Linked DNA regions of Lepisosteus oculatus. The protein of the gene in region 2 purifies or fractionates together with the protein of the main gene of each other region. This does not show direct contact. Links are inferred from orthologs where the notes say so. Each region holds a gene or a part of one and is shown on either strand. Other genes may lie near its edges.

What was found.
Region 1: the proteins of med12 (region 2) and cdk19 purify together in Homo sapiens (affinity purification with mass spectrometry; 10 studies listed by BioGRID and IntAct, counting the BioPlex papers as one, with this or other methods). This does not show direct contact. The link is inferred for Lepisosteus oculatus from reciprocal best matches to the Homo sapiens genes MED12 and CDK19.
Region 3: the proteins of med12 (region 2) and vitamin D3 receptor B purify together in Homo sapiens (affinity purification with mass spectrometry; 3 studies listed by BioGRID, with this or other methods). This does not show direct contact. The link is inferred for Lepisosteus oculatus from reciprocal best matches to the Homo sapiens genes MED12 and VDR.

The regions. Positions count from the first base shown.
Region 1 is NC_090697.1:5,169,109-5,180,717, reverse strand, and holds the start of cdk19 (cyclin-dependent kinase 19), read left to right. Parts: upstream 1-7,220; 5' UTR 7,221-7,523; coding exon 7,524-7,651; intron 7,652-8,271; exon of another isoform or gene 8,272-8,500; intron 8,501-11,609. Other genes in the region: amd1 (S-adenosylmethionine decarboxylase proenzyme), read right to left, coding at 4,852-4,961.
Region 2 is NC_090703.1:52,280,923-52,291,408, reverse strand, and holds the start of med12 (mediator of RNA polymerase II transcription subunit 12), read right to left. Parts: upstream 5,277-10,486; 5' UTR 5,193-5,276; coding exon 5,094-5,192; intron 3,833-5,093; coding exon 3,728-3,832; intron 3,288-3,727; coding exon 3,096-3,287; intron 2,822-3,095; coding exon 2,662-2,821; intron 2,328-2,661; coding exon 2,152-2,327; intron 1,810-2,151; coding exon 1,699-1,809; intron 916-1,698; coding exon 643-915; intron 268-642; coding exon 121-267; intron 1-120. Other genes in the region: tnfsf10l4 (tumor necrosis factor (ligand) superfamily, member 10 like 4), read left to right, coding at 6,271-6,450, 6,943-7,092, 7,874-7,919, 8,360-8,449, 8,548-8,978. UniProt on the Homo sapiens protein: Component of the Mediator complex, a coactivator involved in the regulated transcription of nearly all RNA polymerase II-dependent genes.
Region 3 is NC_090696.1:16,679,724-16,690,315, reverse strand, and holds the start of vitamin D3 receptor B, read right to left. Parts: upstream 4,429-10,592; 5' UTR 4,198-4,428; intron 3,840-4,197; 5' UTR 3,670-3,839; intron 1-3,669.

The DNA.
Region 1 (11,609 bases), on a different chromosome or scaffold from region 2:
TGGTAGCAGAGCTATATTTATAGCGTGTAAACTGAAAGAAACAGGAATATCTTCTTGCCTATCTTTTCGTCAAACAGCCACTCCACTTGGTTTGTATAATTTAATCAACGAAGCTACAACTGACAGCTCCCGGAGGCTTTGTTTTGCAAAACACTGTCTTGCGGATTCAGAATTTATCTCAGATTCACGCACAGTAGTAAGTAATCATTATCAATGAGTCATATACCCAAAAAGTAAAACTAACAAGACTTGTTTGGTGAAATTATCCCAAAAGGAAACATCTGCACAGTACTAGTACTGGCAGGAGAGAAATGCAATGAATCTCCTTGTTGCGAAAGTGCTAAAAATATTAAAGTGAAAATGCCAAAAGAATTGCAGCACCAGAACTCAATGCAACACTTTCTAAAAGACCTACCTTATCTTATGGAGAAACTACACAACATCTGAGCAATTCAGTTGCAACTATAGTCGAGAAAAAGTTTGGAATTATCTGGATTTCTGCATGAATGGCTCCTAAAATGTGATCTGATCTTCATCCAAGTAGAATCATCAGTGGTTCTCAAACTCTTTGGACCAAGTACCATCCCTGATCAAACCAAAGCATCCAAGTACCACCTACATAGAAACCCCAGAAAATCTCAATGACCAACATGAGCACGCACACACACTCAAAATAACAAGAGCACTGAGCACTTGGGCCGTACCGCCTTGTAGCCGTTTTCGGACGCTTGCCAACACTAGCAGTGCTGTCTGTCGGGCTCAGCAGCAGAGCCAGTGTTGGTGGCTGATGTGTAATCCTCCTCGCTCTCAACAGGTGTGCGGGATCTATCGGAGCTGGGGACAGTACTCTTGGTGTCTACTCCTTTCAGCCATGACATGGTACTTGATTTCTGTGACATGTTCACTTTCGATCGTTTGTTCTGTTGGCGAATGTGTGGCTAAGCTGTCTCTGAAAGCTCGGGAAGACTATGACCACTCAAGTATGAGCGCGCACTGTATCAACGTAGCTAAGTAAATAGGCTGTATTTGACAGAAACTAATTTTATTACAACAGAAAATATGAAAACCCATCTCAAGCTTTCTGAAGGCGATTAAGTAAATTACAGATGAAAAATGTACATAATTTTTCATTCCCAATTTTTCAGTGCACACAATAAATTTCCAGGGTCATCAGCCGTACCACCTGGGGGCGCTCCACAGTACCAGTTTGAGAACCACAGATCCAAGTCCTAATAATAAATAAAGACTTATTTAACAAACACACAACCGTTTACATTGTCTTATCTTTATTGAACAAATGTTTTAAACAATCAAGATCATTGATGGAAAACGTATGTGAACCTCTAGGATATTGACATCTTGAAAAGAGATTGGAGTCAGGTATTCCAATCAATGAGTCAGCTGTTCCAATCAATTTAGGTGTGGGCTTGATCTGCCCTGCCGTATCAAACAATCACACAGTTTTGGTTACCTGCTCTTCATAACAGAATTGCAATATGGCCCGATCAAAAGAGATTTCAGAGGACCTCAGAAGAGAGTTTTTGAAGCTCATAAGACTGGAAAAGGTTACAAAAGGATTTCTAAAGACTTGGGCCTCCGTCAGTCCACAGTCAGGCAGGGTTTACAAGTGGAAGAAATTCAGCACTGTTGCTACTCTCCCTAGGAGTGGGCGTCCTACACAGATCAGTGCAAGGGCACACCGCACAATCCTCAAACAGGTGACAAACAACCCCAGGGTGACAGCTAGGGATCTGCAGGCATCTCTTGCACTTGATAACGTCTGTGTTCATGAGTCCACCATGAGATAAACACTGAACAAGAGTGGTGTTCATGGGAGGTTACCACAGAGGAAACCACTGCTCTCCAAAGAAAACATTGCTGCCCCATCTCAAGTTTGCCAAAGACCACCTGGATGTTCCACAGCACTACTGGAACAATGTACTGTGGACAGATGAGACAAAAGTTGAACTTTTTGGTATATGTACACAGCGTCATGTCTGGAGAAAACAAAACACTGCACACCAACACCAAAACCTCATCCCAACTGCGAGGCACGGTGGAGGGAGTATAGAGGTGTGGGGCTGCTTTGCTGCCTCAGGGCCTGGACGGCTTGCAATCACTGAGGGACCAATGACGTTGTATCAGGAAATTCTACCGCACAATGTCAGGGCGTCTGTCTGCGATCTACAACTCAAGAGAAGTGGGGTCATGCAACATCGCAATGATCCAAAACACAGGAGTAAATCAACAACAGAGTGGCTCCAGCAGAAGACGTTCCGGATTTCAGAAAGGCCAAGTCAGAGTCCTGACCTCAATCTCACCGAGCTGCTGTGGCGTGATCTGAAGCAGGCCGTTCAAGCACTCATCGCGGAAATATACATGAAGTGGAACAGTTTTGTGTAGAGGAAGGAGCCAAAATACCTCCCAACCGCTGTGCAGGTCTGATCAGCAGCTACAGAAAGTGTTGGGTTGAGGTTACTGCCAATAAAGAAGGTTCCCCTCATTACTTAATATAAGGGTTCACATACTTTTTCCATCAATGACCTTGATTGTTTAAACCATTTGTTCAATAAAGAGATGGCAATGTAAAATGTGTGTTTGTCAAATAAGACTGGCTTTATTTATTCTGACTGAGATGTAGATTAGATCACATTTTAGTAGCCATTCATGCAGAAATCCACATAAGTCCTAAGGGTTTTTTATACTGTAGGGGGATGCCTATTTTATTCTGAAGAAAAAAACCACTTCTATCCATCATCCAGAAAGCTGGATTTGTTCAGTTTGTGTGAAGGAGAAAAAATGCCGAAGCAGCGGCAGATGTTCTCAAGACGCATGAATATATGTGCAATTCCAATCAAGCTTATACTGGGGTTCAACAAGGTCAAATGTCTAAATTCTTCAGTGCAGCAGAAACGTTAACAGTTTCAACGGTAATGGAAGAGCTTCCAATACAGCGTTAAAAGGGAGGAAGCAGACTCACCTCCCTTATAACTCCTTCCACTGTGCTGTCTAACTTTGTTCAGGTCTGTGCTGTACACGTTCGCCCCTGACTGCACACTAGCGCATGTTACGCCACTAGCCTTCCTTGAGAGCACTGCAGGGTAAACCACGGAGAGCTAAAAAAGGCCAGGGACACTCGGGCCGTTTCCTCATTCCAGCCTCCACAGAGGCTATAAATAACACGGTGGCATTTCAGGAACCGGAGGAGCCAATGAGCAGGGGAGGCCGGCTGCAGACCGGCACAGTCGCGGATCGCTCGGGCCTCAGCGCGCCGGTGACAAACACTCATGACAAACAGGAGGCCTGCACTGCACTGCACAACAGGCGAGCAGAAAAACACTCGGGTTTTGCACCCTACTTTAAAGGCCCTTTTCTGGCTCTGAAGACACACTGGAAAGGGAGAAGACCAGCTGGTGAGGCGCCAGTGCCCAGCCTGGCGACGGGTCCGGGCGACCCCCTGTGCAACCCCCCTGGTGCTCACAGAAACGCCGAGCAGAGCCTGGCGGGCTGGGTATGGGATTAACGCTCACCCTTTCGCTGCCTGGAGGCTGCACTCCTGAAATCAAAGACTGGATTTCCTTAGACGGCTCTTCTACTACACCCATCCCCTGAGGGTGGCTGGACTGGGCCCCTCCTGTATGCAAAGTGCTTTAGAGTCCTCTGCAAAATACGCTATAAAATAACACACTGTCAGTCCGAGAACCACCTGCTGCTCGCCACTAGCCGAGAGTGCGAGGAGACCAGAGAGAAAAGAAAAAAAAACACACAAATCTAAAGCAAACTCTTTTCTCGCCCCCCCCGAAGCGTGCTCGGGGCGAGCCATGTGCCCCCTCGCGTGGAAGCGTCTGTCGCGACCCGCCCTCTTGCACACGGAGGGGGTGGGGTGGGTGGGGGTGTGCCTTTCAGAGCCGCCCGCGATGATTGAAGGGCGCACCCGGCGGAGCGGAGAGGGGCGGCCCGATCGCGCCCGCAGGACTGCCCCCGGGAGCGGGGAGGTAAGTCACCGCGGCCGCAAGCACCGCTCCGCCACGGGGGGGGACCGGCCCGGCCGCATTCCCGGGCCCCCTCCGACAAGGGATGGATCCGCCGACAGTCGGCTCCACGCAGCCCGTGGGGGGAGCCACGTTTTGCCCGTGCGCCCAATTGCATTCACTCGACTGCCCCCACGTGTGAAGCCCGTGCGTTCTCTCCCCCCACCCCTGACTCGCCACTTTTCTTTCCCGTGGCACCGCCGTCTGTCACAGCCCAGACCACTCTCTCGCCCCCCCCCTCCAACTGGGGGAGGGAGGGAGCAGCGGGCCTGCAGTGGCAGTAAATCACCAGCGGGCACCGGTGACTGCGCACAGAAAACCCACCCGCGATCCCCCACGCATGCACGCACACGCATCGCTGGAGACCCCTTCGCCGGCTCTCTCCCTGCGAGGGAGCCCGGCTCCACCCCCCCGGGGAAGGCGAGCCCGGGCGACCCGCAGCGGCCGAGCCCCGCAGGACGAGCGGGGGACAGGCTCGGGCCGTGGGAGGGAGGGGGGGGGTGAGAAGGGGGGGATGGTCTCGGTGCAGAGCCAGCAGCACACGGCTCTCCCCTGGCCGCCGCCGCGACGCGGACACGACACCCGACCCACGACACGCACCCGGGGCAGCGAGGCTTCAAGGCGCCACGCAAAACGGATCGCCCGCTGTCTCCCCACGTACATACGCACACGCACCACAAATGAAAAAAAAAAGACTCAATCGGCCCCGTTTTTTTTTTTTAGGGGATCGCGTTTTGCAAGGAGGGGGGTGCGATTAAAAAGAGCACAACCGAGCGCAGGGCAAAGGCTGCCGTGAGAGGGACCGCCCGGCCGCACCAACCTGGGGATGTTGCGGAGGTCTCCTGTCCCCTTGCTCTCGTCCTGCCGGGAGAACCACACCTCCAGCAGCTTCTCCGTCCCCTCGAAGAAGTGTGCACCGTTCTCTTCCATCGTGAGACAACAGACACCGACAACAGAAATTACAAATTACACGTCGGGGTGGTGGTGGTGGGGGGGTTTGGTGGCTGTAATTTTTCAGATTTGCGTTAATCCTGGCGAGGTTCGGATAACTTAATGAAATGGTTAATTCAGTCTTGTGTTGTTTTTTTTAAGCAGTCCAGGTGTCGTTTGCTTGATTTTTTGCCGTCTTCCCTTTGACAGAGAATACCGTTTAGCGAGCGCTAGCTAATGTCGCCGGCCATACTGTGTAGAGCCGCGAGCGCCGCTCGCCCGGTGCTTTTATTACCTCCCTGGCGACGTCACAAGCGGGCCGCGGCCAATCGGGCGCCTCCGAGCCCATGGGCGGCGCGCCCATTGGCTGCCCGCCGTGCCAATAACTCCCGACAGGGGCCCGCCTCGGCCTACAGTTACCTTGCACACGCGAGGGGCAGCTGAGAGGTTCCTAATACCCCGCCTGTTTGAGTGTGTGCTTTCAGGAGGAAGCCTGGCCTATTGCGAGCGTTTGACACAAAAGTGACATAAGGTTTGTGCAAGATCTGCTTATTAGGTCTTGGGGCGAATGCAACGCAATCGGGTGGGATACGCATTGCACCCTAGCCCATTAAAGTAACCTTTTCCTCGGTAGGTAGGTGCAAAGGTATGTTGGGGTTTTGTTTTCAAATTGTTATTAAGTCTGGCGGGGTTCATCTTCAAGTTGGTCTTCACGCATAAGTCTGCACTCTGTTTTGTTTTGTTCTATAACATCTCATTCGACGTGTGAAACACAGCCTTATTTTTTGTGACCATTAACTTTTCTCTGGAAAACGCCGCTGGAGAGCGTTCGAATTTGCTGGATGGATTGTACTGTAAATCTCCAGTTCGTACATACGAGGAATTGTAAAAACAGCATTTATTTCAGTAGTTCCAGCTACTGGACTCATCACGTGCACCTTTTTAATCACTGTTATGTTATATCCCATATGGTGAGACATTATAAGTTATATGTTAGATATTATACGTTATATGCAAAATTTCTGATAAACCACTTTACATAGAAGAGCACAATGACACTCCAGTTACTTTGGAGTTTATAATGCAAATGTTTTGTTGAAAATGAGCGGCCATGAATTGGTGTTATCAGATAATTTTATAAGCCATGGCGTGCTGTTGACACAAAATACGATATACTGCACGTTACTGAGAGATTGAGATGTTTTCAAACAAAATAGAGTCTGGGAAACGGCGTCAGATGTTTAGAAAACGAGAAAAGCTGTATATAAGTACCACTGAATGACGGTGCATTTGTAGGAATTTAACCTGTACTAAAAAACTCAAGAAAAAAACAGTAACAGAGATGTTCTCCATACACATTAAAACTATAATTTACAATGATTTGCGTCCTGCAGCCAGGTTATTAATTAAATTCATGGACTATTGGAATATACGCGTTGTACGTGTAACGGCTGAATTATAAAACATGACCTTAAGTTTTCAAGCAGTTCTCAGTAAGTTCAAACATCTGCTGTCACTGCTGCTTTCACCAGCCACACGCCGATCGGAACTTCCGCCCCCGGCCCAGACCCCAGTTCGAGAAAACAAACGGCAAAGGATTGAAAACCATAACGACAGTCCGCCGCGCTGCAGCGCGGAAACTCGAGATCGGGGGGTGTTCAGTTCTGAGTACATGTGAGATCTTTGCATCCATAGGCTTCCCCGCAAGTACACGTGTTTCACCGACAAGATGTTAACGTGCAACGCTCTGGACCAATTAGATGTGCGGTGCCTCTTGGGCAGGTACTACTGTGAGTAATGTTACGACAGACTACCACATGCACAGAATTAAAAGGCAAAGGGTCACCAGTCCCATTCAGAACACACATCTAACGTGAAATGCACACGACTATTATACGCCCGGCTAAGAAACGGGAGCACCGACTTCTTTCTTGTTTTTTTTAAAAAAAAAACCCACAATTGCGATTTCTGCTCTTGGGGTGACCTCTCCGCAGAAGTAACCAAGTCACGGTGTTTTATAACAAACTGGGGGGGCGGCATCCGCACGCGATTAGATAATCGCGGGGCATTTCTGAGCCTGGGAAAACAGGACGACTTTCACGGTACCGGCCACACAGCGGCACTGACAGAAGACCCACCCCCTTTAAAATACGCGTATGCGCCCATTCCAAGCCTTCCACTAGACGCGGAAGACGGACATATGTAGAGATAAACATTGAAACATTAGCCGCCGATCCCGTGCTGCTGCATTTTTGTGGGGGGTTGTAAACCCCGACTGCGCAGGCGCGCCGCCCGCAAGGGGTTGGCGGGGAGTGTAGTTTCGGGACGGCGGGGGCTCCGTTAGGGTAGTCCGCGGGCCCCGTGGGTAAGAAAACCACAACCCCCAGAATGCAAAGCGCGCTCACCCAGAAACGTCAACGAGCCAGTGAACATTAAGCGGAGCAGACCAAAATCCCAAACAAGGAAATGATGGGGGAATTGAACGCTTAGATTATTTAATTAACACATTTAATAATTAATATTTTATTTTTGTTGTAAATTAAGAAGTATTTATGGGTTAAAATGGATTACGATTTCAAAACGAAGCTTGCAGCCGAGAGGGAGAGAGTGGAGGATCTGTTTGAATATGAAGGTTGCAAAGTGGGTCGAGGCACCTACGGGCATGTTTATAAAGCCAAGCGCAAAGATGGGTAAGAAAAACAACTGACATTATGATGATTAAAACCCGGTCATTTTACATGCATGTGCTGCCCCGACTGGTGCTGAAACAGTCACAGGCTTCTCCGACTGGATCTGGGGGTTATGCATTCCGGCTCGGACCCTGTCCCGGTAACATGCACACCAAATGTTGATTTTCTGTCACTCCATGTCAAGGGGATTGCACGTAGCTTAATATGGACATACAACACACTTTAATTATCCCCTACAGAACAACAATTCACCTTGGTCTGAGCAGGTCCTCGGGGGCGTCTTGAAAACTTGGAAATCTGGTCAGGCGATCAGTGAATTGTAGCGTTAGGCTGAGGCGTGCACGGCGCTGGAAATGTCACGCTGTTTTTTTCTGGAAACAGATGTACTAGAAAGTTATGGTCTTCTTCAACCCCCCCTCCCCCCACGTTTTCAAGTGTGCATCCTCTAAGCTAGCGGTTGAAGTTGAAAGCACTGTCGTCAGGCAATTATCTGCGCGACGGGCACATAACTTGCATATTTCAATGCGGTCCCACGAGTCGATAGGTGCACACATGTGAAATAAACGTGATCAAGGAGCCTCACTGGGAAGTTGGTTTGGCACAGCGATGTTGCTCGTCAGCCCAGGGTAAATGTTACATTTCAGTGGTTGGCTCAGTCGGTCTGAGATTCACGTGGAAATCGAGGTCAACCGGGTACTTGAGTTACTGTGTTGCAGCGGGAGCACGATTTGGTTTCACGGGTGCACAGTCATCAAGTACCGGTTCTGCTTGGAATAACCGAAATAAACATTTGCTGGCCGAAAAAAAATAACCGGATAAATAACACCGTGAAGTCTCGGGCGGCAGAAAGTGAGCAAAACTCTGCCGCCGCCGCACCGTGACACAGGCAGTGCACAGTTTCTGAATCCGGGTTTGCCGCTTCGACACTTTGTCTGCAGGCCGCCCGGAAAGAGACGGTACGAAACACTGTTTGGGTCAAGTGCATAACTGGGGCGTTACACGTCGAGGCCCCGGTTAGCTCCTGAACTATTCCCGTCTCTTTCGGGGTTCTTTTCTTATTTTGTTTCAACCGATACCTCGATTGTTGAAGCTTTCGTCGGCCTGTTTGCCTTGTACACGGCACCGTGTCGGAAGCTATTTTTCAGAATTCCTCTCGTTTTAAGGTTTATTGTCTTAAGAGAAAATGTAAAGAGTGTCCGTACAGATCAGACCCCCTACTGCTTCACTGCTGTCCCCTCCTAGTGGTTTGCCCTCCTCCCTGGACTCTTCACGACCTCTTTTGAATCAGTTGTTTACTCAATGGGTCTTTCCTGTCAGTGAGGTCTAGATCACCCCAAGACCATGCAGGCCCAGTTAGTGACTAACTTCTCAGTCCAAGTTCACACTAGGAGGTGTCAAAAGGCACGTCTGTTTAGGTCAAATGAGCTTAAATGACTGTTGCCCTTAACAAAAGGCTGTCGCACCTGTATGTGTGTGCCTAATATTTTCTTCTGGTGTCTGAAACGTTTATTATGTTTACAGTTAGTTTCTTTTTCTTCCCAACCTGCTTGCTCAGGGAAGAGAACGGTTTGAATTCATGGTGTGGTTTAAATTTCTCCTTATTTTCCAAGCACTCTTTAGATGCATACGCCAGTGCAGAAGCCTGAAGTGTATCTGTTGGTGTATAGTGTCGGTCAGTACCAAGCCGGAGGCATCGCTGAGTGCTGTTTAAGCGTCTGTTGAGGAGGTGTGAGTTAGGCTCCTGTAAGGAAGCACAGGGGAGTCTAAAACCAGGTAGCAGGGTTGAGAGCAAAATGCAGTGAGAGTTGAACCGGAGAGCAAACTGACCTTGCTGTGTTTTTCTCCCAGGATTCCTATTTTATAGAGGTAGATACTTGCTGCAGCTTTGTTTAAGACTGGTTGCATGTCTTACATAGGTATTAGTGTCAACCGGTACCTGTACTGATACAATGGGATTCTTACTTACAGAAAGTCTCTCGATTGTTAAAACAAGTGTAAAAACACAAAGTGCAGCCAGTGCATCAAGACAATAGAGAAACAAACAGCAGACAATGGACAAGTAAACAGTTCGAATGTAAACAATGCAGACATGAATCCATGATGGTTAAAATGCTGTAGGGTTTTAGAGTTGAATAAAGCTCCTTTTTCTTTTTTTTCATATTTGTAGTAAAAAAAAAAATCCTGAAGTTAGCATATATCTGAATGTAAATTGTACATTGCTATGATTGAGAACGGGTAAAATATTTGACAGCAGGAACTGTAACTAAGTACGATTCCTGTACTAAGTGAAGATGATTGGCGTCCCTTCCAGGGTGTATCCTGCCTTATGCCTGTTGCTTGCTGGGATAGACTCAACAGGCAGATAGCAGCCTGGGAATTGAACCCAGGTCCCCAGTGCTGCAAATCAGCAATTTTAACCACTGCACTACTGTGCTGCCCCAAGACGGGTTCAGCATCTATTAATTACTCGTAATGTTTATCCACATTTTCAAATGGGCTGAGTGATGTCTTCTGATCTGTCACCTCTCTTCATCCTGAGCAATGTAATGTGAAACTAGCGCCGAACACGATTCTGTCGCAGCTACGGTATGTAATCACCAGCCTGGCGATTACAGTGATCTGTCGTGAGCAAGCTTTCAGTGGAGGGCTGGGCTTGAAGCAAGCAATGCAGGAAATGTAAACATGTTAAGTTGTGACAGCTGAAAGAGCACAGCAGGCACCTAACAGGAGTGGAGAAGGTGAAAGCAATTAAGGGGAGTTGCGGTTTTGCATTTGCTAATGCCGACAGACCTGAGCCTTGTCTCAGAATTTAGGCAGTTTTTGAAACAAAACAAAACATTTAGCCATGGTCAAGACTGGTCAAGCCATCACAGTTTGTCGTGGGACACCGATTGAATGTGAACACGTACTACAGTAGTAATCTGTTATTCCAAGCATGATGACATTTAACTAAAGAGCTAGTTTGAGTTGGAAATGTGTAAATGATCTGAAATAAAGCACCAGCAATGTTTTTGTTTGCTCCACCTTTAAAAGGACAATTCTATTATTTTATCATCTCTTCAGTGGGTGGATTTTATCATGCCAGCTTTATTATTATAAATAAATAATCAATGACTTTAGGGCATCTGCACCTCATAATTGCTATCTAATTGTTTTAGGACACTTATGGAATGTTCCTGCACAGATCTATAAGTAACTAATAATAATAATTCCTTACACTTATATAGCACTTTTCTGGACACTCAACTCAAAGCCCTTTTGCAGGTAATGGGGACTCCCCTCCACCACCACCAGTGTGCAGCCCCACCTGGTTGATGCTCACTGCAGCATCGCCTGGGCAAAGTGGCTATTGGTATTCAGCTTTTAGTTGTTGCTTTGAAAATATTTTTGGCGGCACTTCAGCATTAGATAGGCACATAAAGGCGTAAAATAATTTTCCTGGTCATGAGCACAAAGCTCTTCTGGCAGTGATGCGCAGAAATGACGTGAGGCAAAAATAACTCCTTGTGTTGTGGCAGTGTGTGGCTGTATTTCACCTGAGATAGCGCCTGCTGGCAGGCCCAGGGCTGAGGTGGCACTGCCTTTTACACAGCAGCGTGACCAGACTGACCCCTGACCCCTGACCCCTGACCCCACGTCTACTGCTACTCCCACTCCTAGGTGACAGCTGGTGGCGCCGGAGGAGGGGCCGCGTGTGGTAAGCCAGGGTCCAATCTCAGAGGCCTTTTTTGGGAATTTTAAAAGATCTACACACGTTTCTAAAAAAAGTGTGCTTTTTGGACTCTGGACCAAAAGGCTGATTTTCAGGAATTCAGAGTTTGTTAGTTCAGTTAGTTACCCTTGTTTTGGACATGTGGAGGCCATCTTGTCCAAGGCGCCATCAGTGGGGAAAAGGTTACATGGAGCGATTGGGTAATTTATCTGTCGCTGTGTCAGATTCAAATGGTTTAATTTTCCT
Region 2 (10,486 bases):
ACGTGTCCCAAGAGGGTAAAAACAATTAATGTATGAAGCAGCTGTGACCGAACAGATTAAACACCTCTAAAGGGAGAGGGCTGTAGGATTAGCAGCAGACCATGCCTGCATAAGCAGTACCTGCTGTGTGAAGGTGGTGTTGCCCCCTGGCATGGGCAGATTGGAAGGTGCAATGGGCAGCAGGTCCAGGGGGGAGCCAGTCTTGTTCCTGCTGTCTGTCAGGGAGTAGTGCCAAACCAAAGCACTGGGGCAGCACAGGACAATGCTCTGCAGAAAAGGAGGACAGGCTGAATTATCACGTCACAGGCGTGCTAAGGCAGCAAAATCCAGACATTCGGGCAACTACTCCTTTCAACCACATACTGCTAAAAAAGAAATGTTCCTCTGACACAGCAAATTCAAAGTCCACACTACAACTCGAACCTTAGAAATGGGTGAAACCGGTTTTCGACTAACAGAAAAAGAGCAATTCAGACTAACAAACCAATCAACCATGGACCTTCACAGTGCAGGAAAAACAAATTACAGGCTGGGTGATGATGGTCAATGCAGTGCAGGGGAAACGAAACTCCCAGCATTAAAAAAAATTGCCAGATGTAAAGAGGTGCTGGTAAACACCCCAAGAGGCAGAAAGCATCTTACCTGCAGCATACAGCTGAGCCCAAAGACTAGGGGCCGGTGCTGGGGGCAGATGTAGAAGTCTGTGAAGGGAGTCTGCGGCTGGTTGCCCCCCGCAGGCTGGGGGGTTGGCGTGGGTGGCAAGGCATTGCCTGGCTGAGCCGTGATGCTGTGGGTCTGATGCCCCCCAGCTCCTGGTCCCACAGTCCCATCGCTCAGCAGCAGGTTCAGCCGGCGCGTGCAGAAATAGGCCAGCCTTCTGGAGAGGTAGGCCGACTGCACAAACTCCCCAGAATACTGCAACACAAAGGCCAAGCACACACCGTTAACAAGCACAGGGCTGGACACATTTTTATTTGAAACAGGAAAACACTGTGGGAAAGATACCATCTGAAAATGCAGCATTGGAGTTGGATTAGGAATCGCTGTGAAACGCTGGTGATCAGCATTAAGCCAGCAGCCATATCAATATACAACTCACAACTGGCAACTCACTGGAGCTAAGCAGGTATGAGCCTGGTCAGTACCTGGATGGGAGACTCCTGGGAAAAACTAAGGTTGCTGCTGGAAGAGGTGTTAGTGGGGCCAGCAGGGGGCGCTCACCCTGCAGTCCATGTGGGTCCTAATGTCCCAGTATAGTGACGGGGACACTATACTGTAAACAGGCACCGTCCTTGGATGAGACGTAAAACCGAGGTCCTGACTCTCTGTGGTCATTAAAAATCCCAGGGCGTTTCTCGAAACGAGTAGGGGTGTAACCCCGGAGTCCTGGTCAAACTTCCCATTGTCCCTTACCAATCAAGGCCTCCTAATAATCCCCATCTATGAATTGGCTTCATGACTCTTCTCTCCTCCCCAATGATAGCTGATGTGCAGTGAGCATACTGGCGCTCTATGGCTCTATGGCTGCCATCGCATCATCCAGGTGGGGCTGCACATTGGTGGAGGGTGAGAAGACTCCCCATTACCTGTAAAGCGCTGAGTAGAGTGTCAAAAGCGCTATATAAGTGTAAGCAATTATTATTATTAACCTGGGAAAATGTTCTTGCAACTACATGACCAGCGCCTGTGTCAGCTTACCTGCAGCATCAGCGGTAGAAGCAGTTTCAGCAGCTCATCCTCTCCTGGTCTGATCTTCTCAAAACACTCCAGAACCCAAGTGAGGAACTCGTGTCTGTCTAGCATGCCATCCTAAAAACACGCGAACCGGGCAGCACAAATAAGACACCATTTTACACAATTACAGTTTGCACCGGCCCAACACAGCTACTGTACCTCCAAGAGCACCGAAGATACACCCTTTTCCCCAAACACATGACCTGCTCTGAATGTCACATCCCTGAATAATCCATTATTTCCTTTAACACTCTTTGGAGGACCTTGGAAGAAAAGTGATCACCCTTCTGAACACTAAACACTAATATATAAGGGAAATATAATAAGACATCTATAAATATTTGATTACAACTAAATGTCTGGAAGAGTTTTGTATTACACTCTCCAGGAGGACAAGCCGAATTGCATTCATCTGACCTGGAACATGAACATGGCTAGCTTCTCGTTGTACTCCCACTGCTTCATCGCCGTCTCCACCTCCACTGGGGTGGAGGGCAGTGGAGAGACACAGCCCTGGCTGGACGACTGACGGTAAAACTCAGCCACCTTCTGCAGCTGCTCCCACAGGTACTTTGTGATGATCTGGGTCCATTCTGCACACGGGCACAACGATAAAAAAACTACAGGCTCAAGGGGAACATCTTGCATTGTGGTCAAACAGAATTATATTTACTGTGTCCTTCATGAAGCAGTTAAATGCACAACTAACACTGTATAGCCTTTAAGTAACCGAGGTGAAATCAGATCCTGCCCCGGACTGCTGAAGGCTATGAAAACAAAACTCTTTCAACATCTTACAAAAAAAACATTTGTCTTCTTCCTAAAGAGTTCCAAAAGCCCCGCTACAAGCATGCTACTAATCAACAGCTTCACATCAGTCAAAGCTCGGCAACACTGACATGAAGGACGAGGGAGAGGAGTGGTTACCTATACAGGGGTCAATCACATGCCTCTTCTTCACTTTGGTCTCGGTTATGGCTGCATAGTAGGCACAGGTCATCTTGATCATCCATGCAGCACGCATTACTGGCACAGTGTACTTGGCCAAGTAGCCAAAAACCTCCTCCTTTTTACTGAAAATGGGTACCTGGTCAAAGCAAAGGACAAACAAAAAGGAATCAAAGGCTCTCAGAGGCACATATGGCTTTCATCATTCTCCCTTACATGCAGTTAATTTCAGAATTATTTTATCTACATATTCAGACTGAAGTTCCATAAACACATTTACATGTGTTTTTTACATTTCATGTGAAGTTGTGTTCTTTTCATTTTAAAAGAAAAATGCATTTTGTACCAAGCATAACACTTAACGTATAACTTGAGAAAGTTCAGCATGATGAACTGGATTTGACTGTTCACACCTTCTTAGCAAGCTGGGTGAGAGGCTTTGTTCCAGCCAGGTCTGTGAACCAGTTGTTGATGGAGCTCTGGGATCTCGCAGTGACCAACCAAAAGTTGTCTTTCTGGTTGACTTGGGGTTTCCTCTTTCCTGTGTCGGGGAACGTGTTGCATCGCAGCTTCTCTGCAATAATGCTACTGAAATTGGAGCTGATCTGTGAACAGAACGTGAACCGAATGAGCACTGAATTCATACTGTAACAGAAGCGTGGATGGACTAAAAGGGTTAGAGACTTCCACTATTATTATCCCATAACTTGACAGAAAGCTGAAGTATTACTTAAAGGACTATCTATTGAGAAGCAAAGAAAACCAAACAAATAACATCAATTACAAAAACAGCACATAGGTGAAATAAAGACAATCAGAGTGGCGATGTTAAGTTGTTATCTTTCAAAAGCTCATGTTCACAAATGCCCTTCTGTTTACAGTAAAGCCAAAGAAACAAAAAGGTACACAACTCCATCAACCCATGTCAACTTATCACAAATTCAGCAGACAATGAGAGCTTTTGCTTCCTACAGTGGCACACACTGCTGCAACCAGATGGCACTGAAGAACGCAGGCCAAGCAAACCTTGAGGACTCTTCCTTACCTTGGAGGGGTTAAAGTTGACGTTCTTGGCGCTGCCATGCTCGTCCCCCGAAACCGCCGGCTGGTTATTGAACCCCTGCTTCACATTCAGAGCTGTCAACTCATCCTGACGGGATAAAGCACCAAGACTGAGTGGCCAGCAGCACAGCACTGTCATCGCCACCCTGCGGCTGGGACAGGAGGTGCTACACACTTCCATTCCCCCACCGGCGCACGGGCTACACTGGCCGTTCGTTTGCAAACACCGGAGTGTGAAAGCTGCACTGACGATAGACACAGGACATCCCACAAGGCACAACTTTGATCACCGAGCTGTACACAAAAAAGGAAAGCATTCCCCGTGTCTCGTCTAAAATGTCACCCAAACCTGCCCCCCTGCCTCTTACTTTGCAGACTCCTGACAAGCTAGTGTTTTCCACACTGATATATAAACAGCAGTGTGCTTAATGACAAGACTGTCGTGATTACAAACTGAAAATGAAAACCATTCCTTAGAGTTATCTAATGTTGCCTGCTTTGTGCTGGTGGGCTCTTTTCCAAACCAGCTGGCACAAGTGCCCTGGGCTGCAAGAACCTCGGCAGCAAGCTATGTCGTTGCAGTAGTGCGATATATATGTATATTATATACACTATTCCACACTGATAAATGACCTCTGACGCCTTCTACGTGTGCTATTCACACAGCAATAAGACATGAAATTTCAGAAACGTCTCTCAGACCGTAAGGGGCAGCGACTGAAGTGCTTCGCGCCGTCAGTCACCCCGGTACGATCTGGGGAAGGCTGATCACAACCGCACTGAAACTGTAAAGTTTCTTGTACGGGACTGGTTAGAAGGACAGCAGAACTGCTTCTCAACGACAAACCGGCGTCCAGGCTCACAGAGCTAGTGCACAACAGCTCGTCACGTCATTTAGCACCACTGCTGCACTCAGTTACTGATAACCGTAGCTCCGTGCATAATTAAAACACATTGCTGTGGTGTATTCAGCCTGCTCGGGAATATTCCCATCTCTGCCATAAACACTGGAGCACAGCGTCTATGTTTAAGGCAGAAAACCACCTTGGGCATATAAAATTATTAAAAAACACAAGGTGAGCAGCATTTCTGGTGTTATTTTTACAAGTCCCTGTACAACAGCGGCTACTGAGCTCTCCGGCTGCACGTAAAACTCAAACAGTTTTGCAAGAACCTAATGTCATTTTTCACGTCTGTGTATCTGCTCATTGTTATTGTTACTGAAGCACAAAACAGGCCCAGGCTGCATCCTCGGACTCTCCTGCAAGCCCGACTCCCAGCCAGCCCGCTCGGGCACCCCCTCCAGTGCCCTGCTGGGGCTCAGACAGCCCGGAGCCCCCTTTCCTCACCTCCTTTTGCTTGGGGTCCTGCGGATAAACATCGGGAGGCCCGAGCCTCGGCCGCTTTAGGGGCCGGTGCTCGTAACTCAGGATCCCGAAAGCGGCCATCTTTCCAGCGGCATCACAGCAAAGGCTTTCCCCCTTCCGCTACGACAAGTGCCGAGTCTTCGCGGAAACACACGAAAGGGGAACCGAATAACCACGGCGAGACAACACAATCGCTGTGCCGGATCCGCCAGACCCGCGTACGGAAATTGCCGAAGCAGCCAGACATACTGACGGAAGTTTCCGAAGGTCGGGGGCGGATCCTATATAAACAGACATATGGATATATTGCAAATTCCATAGGGTTGAATTTGAACCTTCCCCCAGTAAACCAGCCCACTATTCACGACTGCAAAGAGAGCAAACAAGTCTGTTCATGAATATAGTACTGTACTGCTTAATAATGTACAATATACTGTAAATACAGCAACAGTGGTGGCAGGACATCATAGTCAACAAAACTATATTTTCTCCAGAATAAGAAGTCTTCGGAGAATGAACAGGTTCTGTTGTTGTTGGGGTTTTTTGATGATGTAGATTGAGAACATTTTTTTCATTTCTGCTAATCCAATCATCCCCTGTCCTCTGATTCGTTTTTTTAAGTAGTTTACAATTTTCGATTCTGTCTTAATTTTAAAGATAGTTTGTTGTGTTTTCTAAATAATGCGTGCGCTACATTATTTATTTTTTTTCCGCTGTGAGTTTTCTTCACCGATCTTTCTTATCTCGATGGCCATAGATGAGGTCCAGGTCAGCTGTGTGTTGTCTACATTTTCTCAGGCTGCGACAAAACGCATTCATGCATGCATACCTGTGAAGTTCAAAAACAAAAAAAAATAATATCATCATATTCGTTGTCGCTGTTGTTAATTGCTAGCATTAAAATTGTAGAAATAACTGCAGTTAAAGGTTTAAACCAAAATAAATCAATGCCTCCGAAAACGTTCATCCCACCCACAGTGACTCAGGAGGCGTTAACTGCGCTCGGGACTTTCCGACTGGGAAGGACCGCAGTTCTTGTAACGGGCAGGTTTGCTTGGGCTCAGTAAGGCGGCTGGGGGGGCTCCCATTTCTCTGTAGACCCTGTTTTTAATCTTTGCTGCTGAGTTATCATAACGATGTGGATCCCCACGACAGAAACATGACTACCGAGTCCCAGACCCACCGCATCTACAGGCAGCTGGAGGAGAAATTGTCGCCCAAGAGGAAGCTGAGCGTCGGGAGCTGGAATAGTTTCGTTTTGGTTTTGTGTTTTTTACTCGGAGCGGAAGTGGTTGGGGCTGCCTATCTGTTCTACAGTTTGGCTCTGGAAATAAAGCAGGTAAGCTTATCATATTAATACACACTGTTCTTGATTAAACAGTAAAAACTGGCTTTGCTCATCCTTACAGAACTCCTTGAAGGTACAGTAATGTCGGTGGACTTTTGTACGCGCTGCTCAGCAACAGATCAGTTTCAGTTCTGGCTGGACTTCACTTAGGAGACAGAGAATAAAACGGCGATGAAAACTATTTTGGAACATTAGTTTGCTTGAATATGTTTTTTATTGTCGGAATACTGATTTCCTGTACTATGAATTACTTTTTTTGTGCATATAAGCCGCTCATTTTCTAGATGTTTTAAAAACTTTTAAATTGTTTGATGACTACCGGGTTAATCGTTATCTAAAAAAAAGTGAGATGAACTGTGATTTTGAGTCCATGTTGATCATTCGAAACACAAGAGGCGCAGGTACTTGTACCGCCCGGTTACAGAGCAGAAGTATGCGTCCTGCGTTTGCAATTACGCCTCTGATTGTACTTCACTTATCCAGACCCAGGAGGTGGCCAGGCTCGGAGAGTATCCTGTACAGTGTTTGCAGTACCTAGTGGATCCAGGCCTTCGAGAAAATGCATCTTTCAGCTCTGAAGACCTTGCCGGCTGTGACCAGTGGAATGCGGAGCTCAAGAAAACTATCGGGAAGGTAACGAGACTCCCACTTAACAGGCAGTGATTCACTCACGCTGGACTAACCAAGACTAGGGAAAGGAGAGCTTAATAGACGAGCCAGCAGCTACAGTACATCAAACTGCAACTCACAACTGGCGACCCATTGAAGCTCAGCAGGAATGAGACTGGTTAGTACCTGGATGAGAGACCTCCTTGGAAAAACTAATGTTGCTGCTGGAAGAGGTGTTATTGGGGCCAGTAGGGGTGCTCTTCCTGCAGTCTGTGTGGGTCCTAATGCCCCACTACAGTGATAGGGACACTCAGTAAAACCAAGGTCCTCACTCTCTGTGGTCATTATCAATTCCAGGATGATTCTCAAAAGAATCTCGACGAGTGTTACTCCGGCGTCCTGGCCAAATTTCCCATTGGCCCTTACCAATCATGGCCTCCTAATAATCCCCATCTCTGAACTGGCTTCATTACTCTGCTCTCTTCCCCACTGAGAGCTGGTGTGTGGGGAGTGTACTGGTGCCATCTGGCTGCACTTAGGTAGAGGGGAGTCCCTATTACCTGTAAAACACTTTGAGTGGAGTGTCCAGAAAAGTGCTATTTAAGTGTAAAGAATTATTATAACAGAACAGAAACACCCAATTCCATTCTCAATGGGAGTCCTGATCTGTAATGCTCCCTTCTCCTTGCAGTCCCAAGCAAGAGAGAAATAAGTGACGTAGACAAGTGGGATATGTCATTCAGTCCACCACATACACGCTCTCGTCCTAGTGCTGACTACTGGAGCCTGTTGTTTTGTCTTGCAGCAACTGATATCTGATGTCAGGAACACCCTGTATCAGGAGCTTACAGGTATGTTTTTGTTTTGCAACATATTCAAATCACTGTCCTCATTGGCACAGCACACTGTCAGAATCCTGTCCAACAGGTTCCCTTGCCCAGCACTGCTCCTAAAGATCACTTTAGTAGGCATATACAATTCCCAATGGAGTAGGATTCCTCTGCCAACCACAGAATTTGAACCGGCAACCTTCCAGCCACAGGTGCAGATCCTTAACCACAGAGCCACCGCTCCGCCCAAGTGTCACGACAGTTGCACTGAGTCACTGCGGCATGTTTTTGAGAAGCACAGTGCTTCGTTTGTTTATGCTGGAGATCAAGAAGACGAACGAAAGTTGGAGGTTTTGAGCATGTACTGTAGGCATTGTGATAAGTATCAGACCATCTGCAAGGCAAATGTGGGGTTTTTATAAGGTACTTCTTTCCGTGATGTTTTCATCTATTTCTCACAGCCCACAATGTGTCCCTGACCCACGCCAACAAACCAGCCATCCACCTGGGCCCCGAGCAGGGCTGGAGACAGTTTCTGTGGCTAAAGCCAGGTGGGAGCATGTTTTTACACGACGGTGTTGCATTTAGTGTCTTGTTCGATTTCCGTAGGAAAGCTTGTTGCTCATTGTCTTTATTCTGTACTCCACAGGCAGTCAATGGGGCCCCATGACGACTCCCAGAGGAGCCGTTGTACGCTGGGACAATGTGAATGGCATGGCCGTGCAAGAAGGCATGATGGGATACAGTCAGGATGGAGGCATAGTGGTGCCGCGAGATGGGCTTTACTTTGTCTATTCCCAGGTTTATTACCACTCGCAGCGCCCAGCTGGCAAGGAGCAGGCCCAGCCTTTTCTACACTACATATACAGGAAGACATCTTACCAGGAGCCTATCCTTCTTTCTAAGGCTGCCTCCACTGGATGCTGGAACATGGAGCTGGAACGCGATCTAGTTTCCAGCCACCAGGGGGCACTGTTCCAGCTGCAGCAGGGGGACCAGCTCATTTTGAAGGTTCATGACATCCACTCTGTGTATTTGAATGAGGATTCCACTTATTTTGGAGCATTTATGGTAATTTAACTGGTGAAGTTCAAAATTACTGAACAGGTATTGGGTTAATCGATTTTCTTCTCTATTATTGTTCTAGAAGAGCACTAAGGAAATCTTTATGTAATGTCTTATTGCCCACAAAGGCCATGTCGCTAAAGTCTTGCAAGTGTGTTATTTTACAGAAACTCTAGTTTTTAACTGCTGTGGTATTTATAATGATAATAATTAGCACACACGTATTTCCCTTTGTGGGGATTTGTGTCTGATCAGGTTTGCACTCATATGATTGCTAGCCAGATCCACTCTGATAATGGTATTAATGGGAAAAGTAAAAAAAAAAGCTTAGTCTAATTTTCAAACAACGCACATCCGTTTAAAGAATAAAAATTAGATCTAATTTTCCCATTTTGTACAAAATATTTTTATTAAAATATTCTTGTGTTTTTAATAAAAGTCTGTAATGAAATAACTGAAAAAAATACTCATTTCAGTAATTTAACAAGGCAAACTTATGGACAGGTCTTCTGATGTCACAGATTATATCTGGAGTGGGTAACACCAGCTAAGGGGTGCCAGGTTCCTATGGGCTCCTTTAGCTTAGAGTAGCACCTGCTCATACCAGGAGAACAGCCAGTTGATCTTCTGATATTCTCCATTAGTTCAGTTAAGGTTAAGGTCTAAGCTATATTAAAAAACCAAAACCAAATGCAGCCTCGGCAGTCTGGAGTTGCCCACCCCAGTTACACAACAAATAATATTCGGAGCTGGGACGTATTTTTGCTGTGCAGTTTTGCAAACGACTGATATTTCTCTTTGACCGCAGTGCTACTCAAGCATCTGGGGTGCATTTTCTCAGCACAGCCAGTCTGGCTCATTTCTTCAGTCACATTTTACACTGCAGATACCCCCTGGTACATTGGGTGCACAGGGGAAGCTATAGGGAGCAAGTTCAGCCAGAGTATGACACTGTTTTGGGAAGACAGTTAAGATAAGGGTTTGTCTGTACACAGTGCAAAAAAAATGAAAATATAGAGAGTAAAATGTATGCATTACATTCAAACACTTTCACCTCACAGATACTTTCAAAGTTTATACAATTTGTGATTTATTGCTCTCACACAGGCACTTGTAGGGTTAACTGAGGTGCACTCAGAGGTGGATCCTTCTACACAAGGCTTAGACATTCTGTTAAAGTGACTCTTACAAATAGAACTATTTGTAAGGTGTCCCCTTTAAATACAGTGTCTAGTTCCATAATGGTAATTGGATCAAATAAGGCATGCTCTTCAAGCCTATCTTTCCATTGAAAGAGGTTTGGTAGGTCAAACCAGTGGGCAATAGCTGTACTGCACAAACTACATTAGGCTTCACAGTTTTATCCCCATTCAGTCCAATCTCTGGCATTTAAGAGATTAGCCTACATTTAATGATCACATAGAACATTTCTTGCGAGCCATGATGCTCCCTGTCTTTCAATTATTGTAATAAGTATTCTAAGGGAAATTCAGTCCTTGTTAATTGTTTCTGTTGTCAGTAAC
Region 3 (10,592 bases), on a different chromosome or scaffold from region 2:
CCTTCAATTGTTAAAGTTGAAAGCAAATGAGTCCCATGAACTATTCTGCATTTGATTCAACACTGAAGTCGTCAAATGAATAGTTTGTCACAAGCTGGAACATCAACTACCGTTCTGTTATATAAATCTTCAATAACCAAACATCGAACAAGGCCATGCACTTGCTTCCTTTAGAAATCTGCACCACACGCTGGTATAGCTAGCAATTCAATTATGCTTCTCTGTATACAGGCTTTCACAAATCAAATCAGCACGGCCTTTCAAAGCTCAAGGTGAGCAGTAACCTGCTAGTTCAGATTTATATGCTTTCATCTTGAACATCACACATTCCATCATCTGATTTTAAGCACAACAATTAACTTTTTTAAATTACACAAACAGAAATTCTGGGCAAATAAAAAATATTGAGTAGGAAAATCAATACCAATTGAAACCTTGTATTTTAAGCAAACATCTTGCAAAGCTAAAGCTTTCCTGGAAGCCTTTAAAAGGGCATTGCTTCACAATTGACATGTGTGGGTGGCACGCTGATGGAGCTCTATGGTAAAGCACTTAGTGCTGGAAAATTTCAAAACCTCAACATTTTTGAAAAAGGAAGAAAAGTCAAGATGGAATATGCAATGTTTCCATTAAAATGGCCAAAATCCCTTGATGAAAGAATGGGCAAACAGACAGATAGCATGACTACATTTCCATTTGTTGTACGATTAAACAAGGACTGTGGGCAAATGAATACTTCTGTTCCTCCCATACATCCATTTTCTAAATACTTTATCCAATATAGGGTTCTGGGGGAAATGTAGCCTATCCCAGCAAGTAACAGGCGCAAGGCAGGATATACTCAGGATATATAACAGGATGCCAATCCATTCATGGGTACACAGACACAAACACGTGTGCACTCATACCAGAGCCAATTTTTACAGAAGCCAATCAACCTACTAGTATGTCTGTGAATTATGAGAGGAAACTGGAGCACCAGGAGAAAACCCATGTGAACACAGGGAAAACATACAAACCCCACACAGACAGCACACTGGAAATTGAGCTAGGGCCCTAAAACTGCAAGGCAACAATGCTCACCACAGTGCCACCCAGCTGCCCTCCCTTATACTTCCATCTGTCTATAGTATCTCCACCTCAAGACATTACAACATCATCACACTTCAGCTTACATTCAACTCTTTAAGATAAAGATCACTTTATTGGCTATATACAATTTTTCTTGCATTAGGTATTTGTCTTTTCGCATACCCCAACTTGCTCTCCATGAGACACACAGACAGTGGGAGAAGCTTGGGGTCAGAGTGCAGGGTCAGCCATTTAAACAGCGCCCCTGGAGCAGTTGGGGTTAAGGGTCTTGCTCAGGGCCCCACCGGAGTAGTAGCCACAGGGGCAGATCCTTAGCCACAGAGCTCTTCCTCACAAAAACACAGTGCGTTTACACCCGCAGTGAAAACTTTTAGGGAGCTAATTTTAAAGAAAGATGCTTCGTTTCAATTTTGTAACACACAGAGCTGCTGTTATCTCTTTCAAAGCAGGACTACGAGCTGTGCACAGAGGAAACCGACTGAGGGAAAATGAAGTGCGGCAAAATTCAAGTCACACAAAGATTCTAGGAAAATAAAAAGCCAACATTGCCAAGAACACATTTCGGGAATGGCTGTGAAAAGACAGGGTTAGGGAAAGAAAAATCCAGTCTATGAGGTGTTGCAATCATTGCCTACAGATAAGAAAGGCTGGCCTTAGCCATTACTGAGCAGCATGATGTGGATGCCTGGACAGAGACTTTCAACTGATAGGAAGGCAATGGGAGTGCGCTCAGCAAGCTCCAGGCTGCGAGGGGGTAAAGTGCTGAGGAATGACATCCGCCAGGTGCTGCTGGTTTGGGTTTTAAGAAGCGTCTCCCTGGATCTGATGCAATATTAATGTTCCCTGGAAAGCAAAGCAGCACAACAACGAGCTGATGCGCACTGGAGTGCAAAACAAAGTTTGAATGCTTAACCAAGGTATACACTATGGATTCTGAGCAACAATTGCTCAGATTAGGCAAACACAAGACAGGCAGCATCTGTTTTATTAAATCTTTAATTCACCTTCTGTTCCGTAACAGAACAAGCCCTCCGTCAAGGAAAAATGACCCCTGCTCCAGCAGGGAAAACAAGACTCTCCGTCTCAAAATGTAAGAGAACAGGTGAAAAACGGGAGCTTAAAAAACTATTCACATCAATAGCATAGAATTCCTTAGTTCCCAGAAGTAACAAACAGCAAACGGTCACTCTGCTTTTCAAAAATAATGTAACGTCTGACAGAGCCTGTTTATTAATTTGCATGTTTGCCACAGGCTTGCTGTAGAGTGCTGGCAGAGGACACTGCAGATGTTTGGCAATCTCACTGCAATTTCAAGGACATTGAAAAACATTTACTAGACATGGCGTGAACATTAGTCATGCTGTGGTCAACACCCACCAACTATCAGGAGTAACAGTCAAGCAAAAGGTTGACAGAAAGTTCACTGCCTTCTATACTTGGAAAAACCCATCTGATGGGTAAAAAACTAACCATGTAAAGCTGTTTCACTGTGATTATACTATTAGTTTTACAACAGAATAAGACTGTTTACAAAAGAGGAGGCCATTCAGCCCATGTAGCCCACTTGATACCCTGTTTTCTTTCCAGAAGCTAACTATCGGCTTCGACAACATGGCAGGTTAGCTTGATTGATACTGTACTTCCATTTACTTTGAGCAAATAAGTGACCAAAGAATAACAATTGCTAGTTTTGTTTTGCAAGAGTGGATTTTAAAACAACTTCAAATGTCAAGCAATCACATCCAATCTCAGAAGATTTTCCACTCCTGTCCTTGAATCAACCCATCCTTTCGGATATCTGGTCATCATGCCTTTTCTGCTGTTGCTCCATTGGTATGGAATGACCTTCCACAGACTCTATGAGATTCCACAAATTCTCTGACTCTCTGCAAATCCAAACACAAAATTCACCTTTTCACCAAAGCCTTTGTCTGATCGCCAGACATTTTTGTTTAATTTGTCTTATTTATTTTCTTCTTTTACTCTTCATTGTACTTTTTGTCTTTTTATCACTATATACAGCATTCTTGGGTTTGGAAAGGCACTTTTAAAATAAAAGACGATGATGAATCTTTTTATTATTGTTGTTGTTGTTAACCCTGTAAGTGCAGATTGCTACACTCCCAATATATCCTTTAAAGAATAGTCGAGGGCAATGAGGTACTTCTTCGAGCCCAAGGCTGTATGTTTCGCTGGCCTCTTTAAATCACCACCTGCATAAAACCCAGGCCAGCCCACTTCACGAAACTCAATTTTTCCATTAAATAGCCAAGAGGTCAGAAATAATGCAAACAAGGCTTTCCTGATGCCTTGGAAAGCCAGCCATGCACAGTGCTTTTAATTGTAGTTTACTCTGACCAATTAGTGCAGCATTCTGGGACTTACAAATTTTGCTCAGCGTGAAAAACTCAAAACGTGATACAGAAGTAAAGGAGGAAAAAATTATCAAGATGCTCTATGCTTTGCTATATAACTTTGGTTTAGCGTGTTTTAGCTGGATCTCCACTGGTATACCACAGTAAACCCAGCCATAAGTATCCATCACATTATTAGTCTGAAAAGCAGTGGGTAACTTACCAGAGGTCCACATGATGTTACAGACCCCTCCGAGCTCTCCAGGCGTCTGTGTGGGCCGAGGCAGGTCTGGATGCAGATCCGTGTTCCAGGTGGACCGCCGGGGCCCCTCACGCCTCATCAACCCTCGGCGATGGCAGTAGGGCTGAGAGGTCGCATCCCAACCTGTGGTCCTAAGGAACAAGGAGACAACACATCGTCTCTCGTCCTCGATATCAGCTGGGAGACGAAATGACTTAACCTGTATACAGGACCCGGTCCCGTGTCGCTAGCCCAAGAAATCATTCGGCATTCCTGCCGGAAACACAGATATAAAAGCAACCACACCGCCCCCGGACAGATCAATATACTTTTTTTCAGGAAACCGTCCTTTTCCCCCCCTGTACGGTATCTTAAAACACATTCCCCAAATTTGGAAATGTTAACGACTTTAGTACATTTGTTTCGTTTGGAAAAAAAAGCGCTCTAAAATATGAAAACCATTTCCATTCTTACAAACCGTTTTTTTTTCTAAAAACTTTTTTCACTGACCTTGCTTTGAAGAAGTTTGCCGGTAACCGTTAAGTTATTTCGAACTGTGAAGCTGCACAGGGCATCTTGGTGTTGTCAAGTGTATTGCGAGTGAACAAAGGCGAAAGCAAAGCCGCAAAAATACCGAAAAAATATCAGAAATTTACAGATATTCGAAGTTCCAAGAAAAAAAACGTTTGTTCGCATTTCAATATTTTAAAGACAAATGTTTTATCAGGTATCAGAGCATATACTTCTCACAACCGGCTAACCCGTGCGGCTACAGTGTAAGATTGACGGCTGGAAGGACCAATCAGCGTAGCTCTTGAAAGCGGGTTCTCAGAGTTTAGATTCCCGGATGTTCGCTTCGTGTGTTCGAACTGGTTTATATTGTATTTTCATAATTAAAGGGAAAATACAGCGGACATTTCCATCTATATAGCTCAGTTTTACTAAAAGGTAAGAATATGTAACCTTCGTGTATCACATACGTTCGCATTCAAGAGTTTTGGAATAAACTGAACTTGTTATGCCTTTTCCTTCACGGCGATATTATCTCAAATACAGTATTGGACAAGTTACTATATGTTTCTATTTTTTATGGGTGTTTTATAAATATTTCGACCAGTATTATTTGTACATTGAAAAAAAACATTCTACTTTTATTTTTCTTAGGGCTTTACAGGCTGTGCAGATATCTGGTCCCATGGTGTAATGGTTAGCACTCTGGACTTTGAATCCAGCGATCCGAGTTCAAATCTCGGTGGGACCTCATCCTTTTGCCAGAACGTCAAAGAAAATGACTTTTTCCCCCCTAAAAGCTTACAAAAAAATTATAATTCTCATTCGGTCTGGAACTGAGACAGTTCCACAAATATTACGAACACTATAATGTGCATGTATTTATAGAAAATGTTTTAAACGTTTCCAAAAACCAAAAACTTTTTTTCAGAACATTTCGAGTATTTTTAAACCGTTAGTTTCCGTTCAATGGTGTTACGATTCATGTTTTTTTTAAAAAACAAACCTCATAAAACGCGGAACAAGGTTGGTTTCTGGGTGTAATTTTGCATTATGACAGTAAGGGGGCAGTCGTTAGGATGCAGTCGACTACATCCTGAAGACATTTAAAAATCGGGCTCGGTATACAGTATATATCACGGACGTCAGACTTGTTTTAAAAGCAACTACTCCCCTAAATGTGTGTTTTATATTAAGAAGAAAGGACTGGTTAGAAACGAGGAGTGCATTGGGCCCCTCCAGCACATTTAGATATGCGTTATCGTTATTGCGTATGCAAAATATAACACAGGCACGTGTTAAGATTTAACGTGTCTGTGGAAATTGCACAAATACTGTACATTTGAGGACAGTCCAAGAAAGTGTTTAATATGTATTCATAGATGTATTACTGCAATTAGTATTTGCTTGACTGACGCTCATTTCCAAGGTGACTTTAAAAAAATACAGCGCATTAATATAAGCTATAAATGTTAATCCATTTTAAACGAATTCTGTCATTTCTGTTTGCAGAGTTGGATGAATCCGAAAGTGGGCAGTTTCTGCACTAATGCTGGGAAGCTAAAAGGCTTTCTGATGAGGAAAAATAAATTCAGTACACCGACGCCCCGGCTCCTTGTTCTCCGGTTATTTTAGCCTGGCTGGGATTTGTTATCCTTGGCCCTGCGAGTCGCGGTTTTTATGTTTTAAATGTCCCGTGTTTTTAGAGCACGTTGGCGCTGCTTTTTCCTTTGCGTGTTCAAAACGTTTAAGTCAACTGCGTCAGCCTGCGTAGTCTGCAGAGGAACAAGTAATAGGTTATTACAGAAAAGAGAAGAGAGAAAACACAACGTTTCGGCTGTGAAGCCTTCTTCAGGTGTGAGAAAGACAGGGCAGACAGGAAAGATTAAATAGCAAAGGTAGGCCGGTTTGACACACCTTCGGACGGAAAGGCGCTCTACAGCAACAGGAACAGAGGATCCCCGTCCTGGACTTGGCGACCCACCCCCCTGCTGATAGGACTGAAGCCGGACTTGGATCTGAGAAGCTGCTCCAATCGAATTATTTGCATTTTGTTTCCAGCCACAAGTCTGGGATTTTATTTCACTTACAAAACACAACGGTTAAAGCTCCCATATGCTTAAGAGCAAACCGTTCACATTCGTCTTATTGTTATGACTACGTCAATGAAGGGTTTGAATGTGTAACTGAGGGCTCAGCGGGACCAGGCCTGGGAACCCCTGATCGGGATTAAGCACAAGCCGACACCCCCAGTTTCCAGCTGCTCTGACTGCGAGTGCGGCTACTGCAGCGGCCCCTGCTGTACAGCTCGTTCCTCTACCTCCGCCCCTGTAGCTGCTGGTCCTACTGCTGCCACTAGCACACTGTTAACAGCAACTTCACTCCGTGTGCGAGGAACCCGGGGAGTGGATTCGTGAGATATCCCATCGGTTAGGCTTTACCGGCGTGGGAGAAACTGAGAATCCACTCGCGCTCGACTTCGGGGAGCACACCGTATCCTATTCCCCCGGGCCGGGGCGCTCGTCACTTCTTAAGATGTGGGACGGTACGCTCAGACTTGCAATGACCCAGAATCGTACAATCGACACGCGTGTCCGCAGCTGTTCCACCGAGGACACCGTGCGGCGCTGGTAGGGTCGTCAAGAGCGTGAAGGGAGCTCGGCTAACGCGGAAAAACTCCCCGAGTTTCACCCGCTTGACTTGTCAGGTGGTCGAGTACGCTGGTCGGGGGGTAGGATAACCTCCGGGATCCATTTTTCTGGGAATGCAATGTTAGGCGTGGTAGGGACACGCTTTAGAAAAGCAAGCGTGCTCCGTTTTTCTGGGAATGCAAGGGAACAATATCAGTGTAAGAGCCCCTGTCGGGGACAGGAAACGGGGAATCGGGGAGCCCCGCCGGTGGAGGAGCACAGAAGCACAGCCCTTTCTCCGGGTTTCCCATCCACATGAAAAAACTCCACACGCGTCCTGGACACAGAGAGGGCATAGAGAACAGAGACAGTCTCACTGAGAGCTACCCACCCCCCAGCGACCTTTCTTGTACCGTAGGGGCCTCACCCCCAGCCCTCGCTGCATTAGGGTGGGCAGCGGTGAGGAGGAGACTGTGATCCATCTCCTGTGTCCTGTTTTTTTGCTAAGGCCTTCTGGGCCCAGTTTGAACACTGGTTGCAAGCTCTCTCGCCCCAATTTTCCCTGACCGCTGCTTTCGTTATATATACGGCATCTCTCCTGTCAAACTTCCTCCTGACGTGATTGACAGGATCTGGGCCGTGGTGAACAGTGGGAAAGACGCCCCGTGGAGAGTGAGGAACATGGGGGTGTTCACAGGCATCGAGGTCCCAGTCAAGGCAGCAGGTAGCCTGGCCCTGTCCATCACCCGAGAGAACTATTACCTCAGAGATCTGTGGAGAGAAGGGAAAGAGGAAGCAGAAACTGTGGGAAATAGAGGGCATAGGACAGTATCTCAAGATGCTGTGAAAAACATGGGATGTGATCATACAGTATATACTGGTTTAAGTATGTATATTAATGTAAAGCTTTCTAATTTGTGATGCCCTGTATTTCTTTGTGAAAATAAAATAAAGTTCTTAAAAATCGGTAAAATCGGTGTCTTCTGCGCAGGTTAGGAAGCGTTTCGACACCTTTGGCCTTGCTTTCGGCGTCTGAGGGTGAATTAAGACCCCCCCAAGACCAAAGCTGAAAGCGTTGCTGGCGTCCAGTTTCACCAGTTTCCAACGGGACAAATCTGTCCCCCGTCTTCCTGGGGTCAAAAACCATAGCTTTACTGGCTCATTGCAAAACGTGTGGACAAATGTACCCGACCTCTTTCAGCCCAATGCTGTAGAAAGAGTACTTGGCCTGGCAGGACGTTAAGCCCAATCCATGCCACTGACTAAACAATAGTTCACGGATATTTCTGTTAGTGTTGTGAAACTATCTGACACATTGAAGCAGCAAGTCCTTAGGGAAAGAGTTCACTCTTGGAAACTAATCTCCAGATCGTCAGTCGTTCTGGATATCTAATTCAGAAAAAAGAAGGTCACACGTATTAACGCCTCTTCGGCCGTTTTGTCACGCTTTTTACTTCACGCACAAGGCACAACCGATCTGATTCCGCTGTGCAGCCCCGCCGCGCATCGTCCCCGTTCGCCGAAGAGCCGATCTGTGTTCGGCTCCTTCCGTGACCCCGCCCCCTCCAGCCGAGCCGGCTGCCATTCTCGTTGGCCTCGGTCCACTCCGGCGGCTATCCGTCCACTCCGCCACAGCCTCCCGACAGCTTCCCCGCCAATTAACAAATGGTAATGTGCGAGACGTCAATGAAAGGTAAAGCAGGGTCCGAAAACCCACGTGAAAATGTATTGCAAATCATGAAACGATAATATATAAATATTGTGCATATGATCACAAATCCACAGATGTATTTGTTTAGGGACTGATCTCAGAAAATGATAGCTGTGTGACTGAAATGATTCTGGGAGGTTCAACCTCCTCCTCCATGTTTAGGACTATAGGTACTGAAAACACCTGAAGTTAAACCTCTCATTACGTCGGGAAGGGTTTGATTATTTAATGGAGCGCTGAGATGGGGTCCCCGGGCCTAGAGGAGCACGAGAGTGATGATTGGAGCTCCTGCTGAAACCAGGCCTGGAGTCGGGATCCCTCGCTGACCCGGTCCTTCATGACAGCGGTGCAATGGGCAGATTCCAGATAGCAGCTGTCCCGAGGAAGACCTGGGATTGGCCCCTGACTGGGGGGCTCAAGTCAGTGACCTACAGTAGAGGCCAGAGTGCAATATAAAAACTTTGCAGTCTGCTTGTGAGCAAGAGAATCTACAGGGACAAGCCAAAACTTTTGAAGAACCCCCCCACACACACACACAAGCACACACGCACACACACAAGCACAGTCTCTGACTCTTGCAATGACAAAAACAACTTTAATATATGGGACGTACAGTATTCGGGGTTAAGGGTTCAGAATTATTCGCTGCTGGTCGTTTATTCAAGCAGGATTTTCTCTTAGCCCATGTCGTGATGGGTAACTTGCGAGTAACCCCGCCAGCGTCTCGTCTGTCCTCCGGGACCGAGATCTGGGAGCAGTTCAAGCTGGGAAAAGCGGTGGAAGTCTGCCTCGCGTTATTCAAGGGAACCATGCCTTGTTTGCAGCTAAATGAGTTTATTCAGGGGACTAGTGACAAATGTTCCTAATATTTTGGCCAGTGAGTGTGCCTAGCTGCCTTCCCAGTGTTGTCAAGCTGAATAAAAATAGCAGGCTGCAGCCTGAAACTTGGACTGCAGGGGCTCTGCTGCAGCCCGTTGAGCTGACAGAGAGGAATCCCCTGACACACTACTCTGCCGTTTGCACCGAGGGCTGAGTTGACTTAACAACTGGGATTTCTAAAAACAAGTCAAAAAGACGAGAAAAATTGGGAAATTCAAACCCCAAAAATGAAAATAGTTGGCACCCACAGCATACAGTATGTCTGTGCCAGGATGGGTTTGCTTAATCCATGCCTCTCATTGGAAAGAGCTTGCTTTCTTGCATTTGGACAGCTTAGCGGGACCCTGCCCAGAGGTGTGAGTGCAGACAGAGGCACACAGAGTAATTGATTGGTTCCAGATGTGCACCGCCTCTCATGTGTCTCCCGGAAAAGCCAAACTATCTGCACGCTACTGGGAGGCAGTTCTAAACTCCAGAGGCAGAGAATGCGAATCTGGTTTCAAGATAGTGATGGGAACAACTATTGCTGGCTCTTTCTGTTCAAAAGACTAGAAATTTTGTCTAAAACTAGAAGAAAAGAAGGCGGTGCCAGATACAGTGCACTGCTGTACTGCTTCATCAGTCTGGGCTTGATCACAAAAAGCACTGCTTTTCATTTATTGGACAACAAGACCTGAATACATGCTTCAATTTTCAGTATTACAAATTACAATACAATAGCAAAGCATGTGAGAACAGAACTTCAAAAACTGTAAAGTTTTATATTAACAGTCATATTGAAATCTGAAGCAGCAGATTGCTGGAAGTTCAAAGAAGAGATTTGTTTTCCAACTCAACTCATCTGAACACGTCTACATCTCATTATAATCTGCGGTATGTGAGACAGTGTTTAAAAAGGTTTTTATTAGCGTTCTTTAAAAGCCAAGAACCGCTGTTGTGTAATGATGCGAATCCAGGTTACAGTGCAGTGGACAGGGTGAGATTGTTGTCACTGGCAGGACAGACACATTTTCTTCCTCTCTGAGATGAGGCTGTGCTTTTTTTCTAGCCCCCCGTCACAAAGCAAGTGACAGTTTTTACGAGAGACAAGTGCATGTGATTTGTATTTGCAAAAAAAATCAATTAAAATCCCTCATCCATAAAGCTTGCCTGAACATACTATGGAAACATGTGCA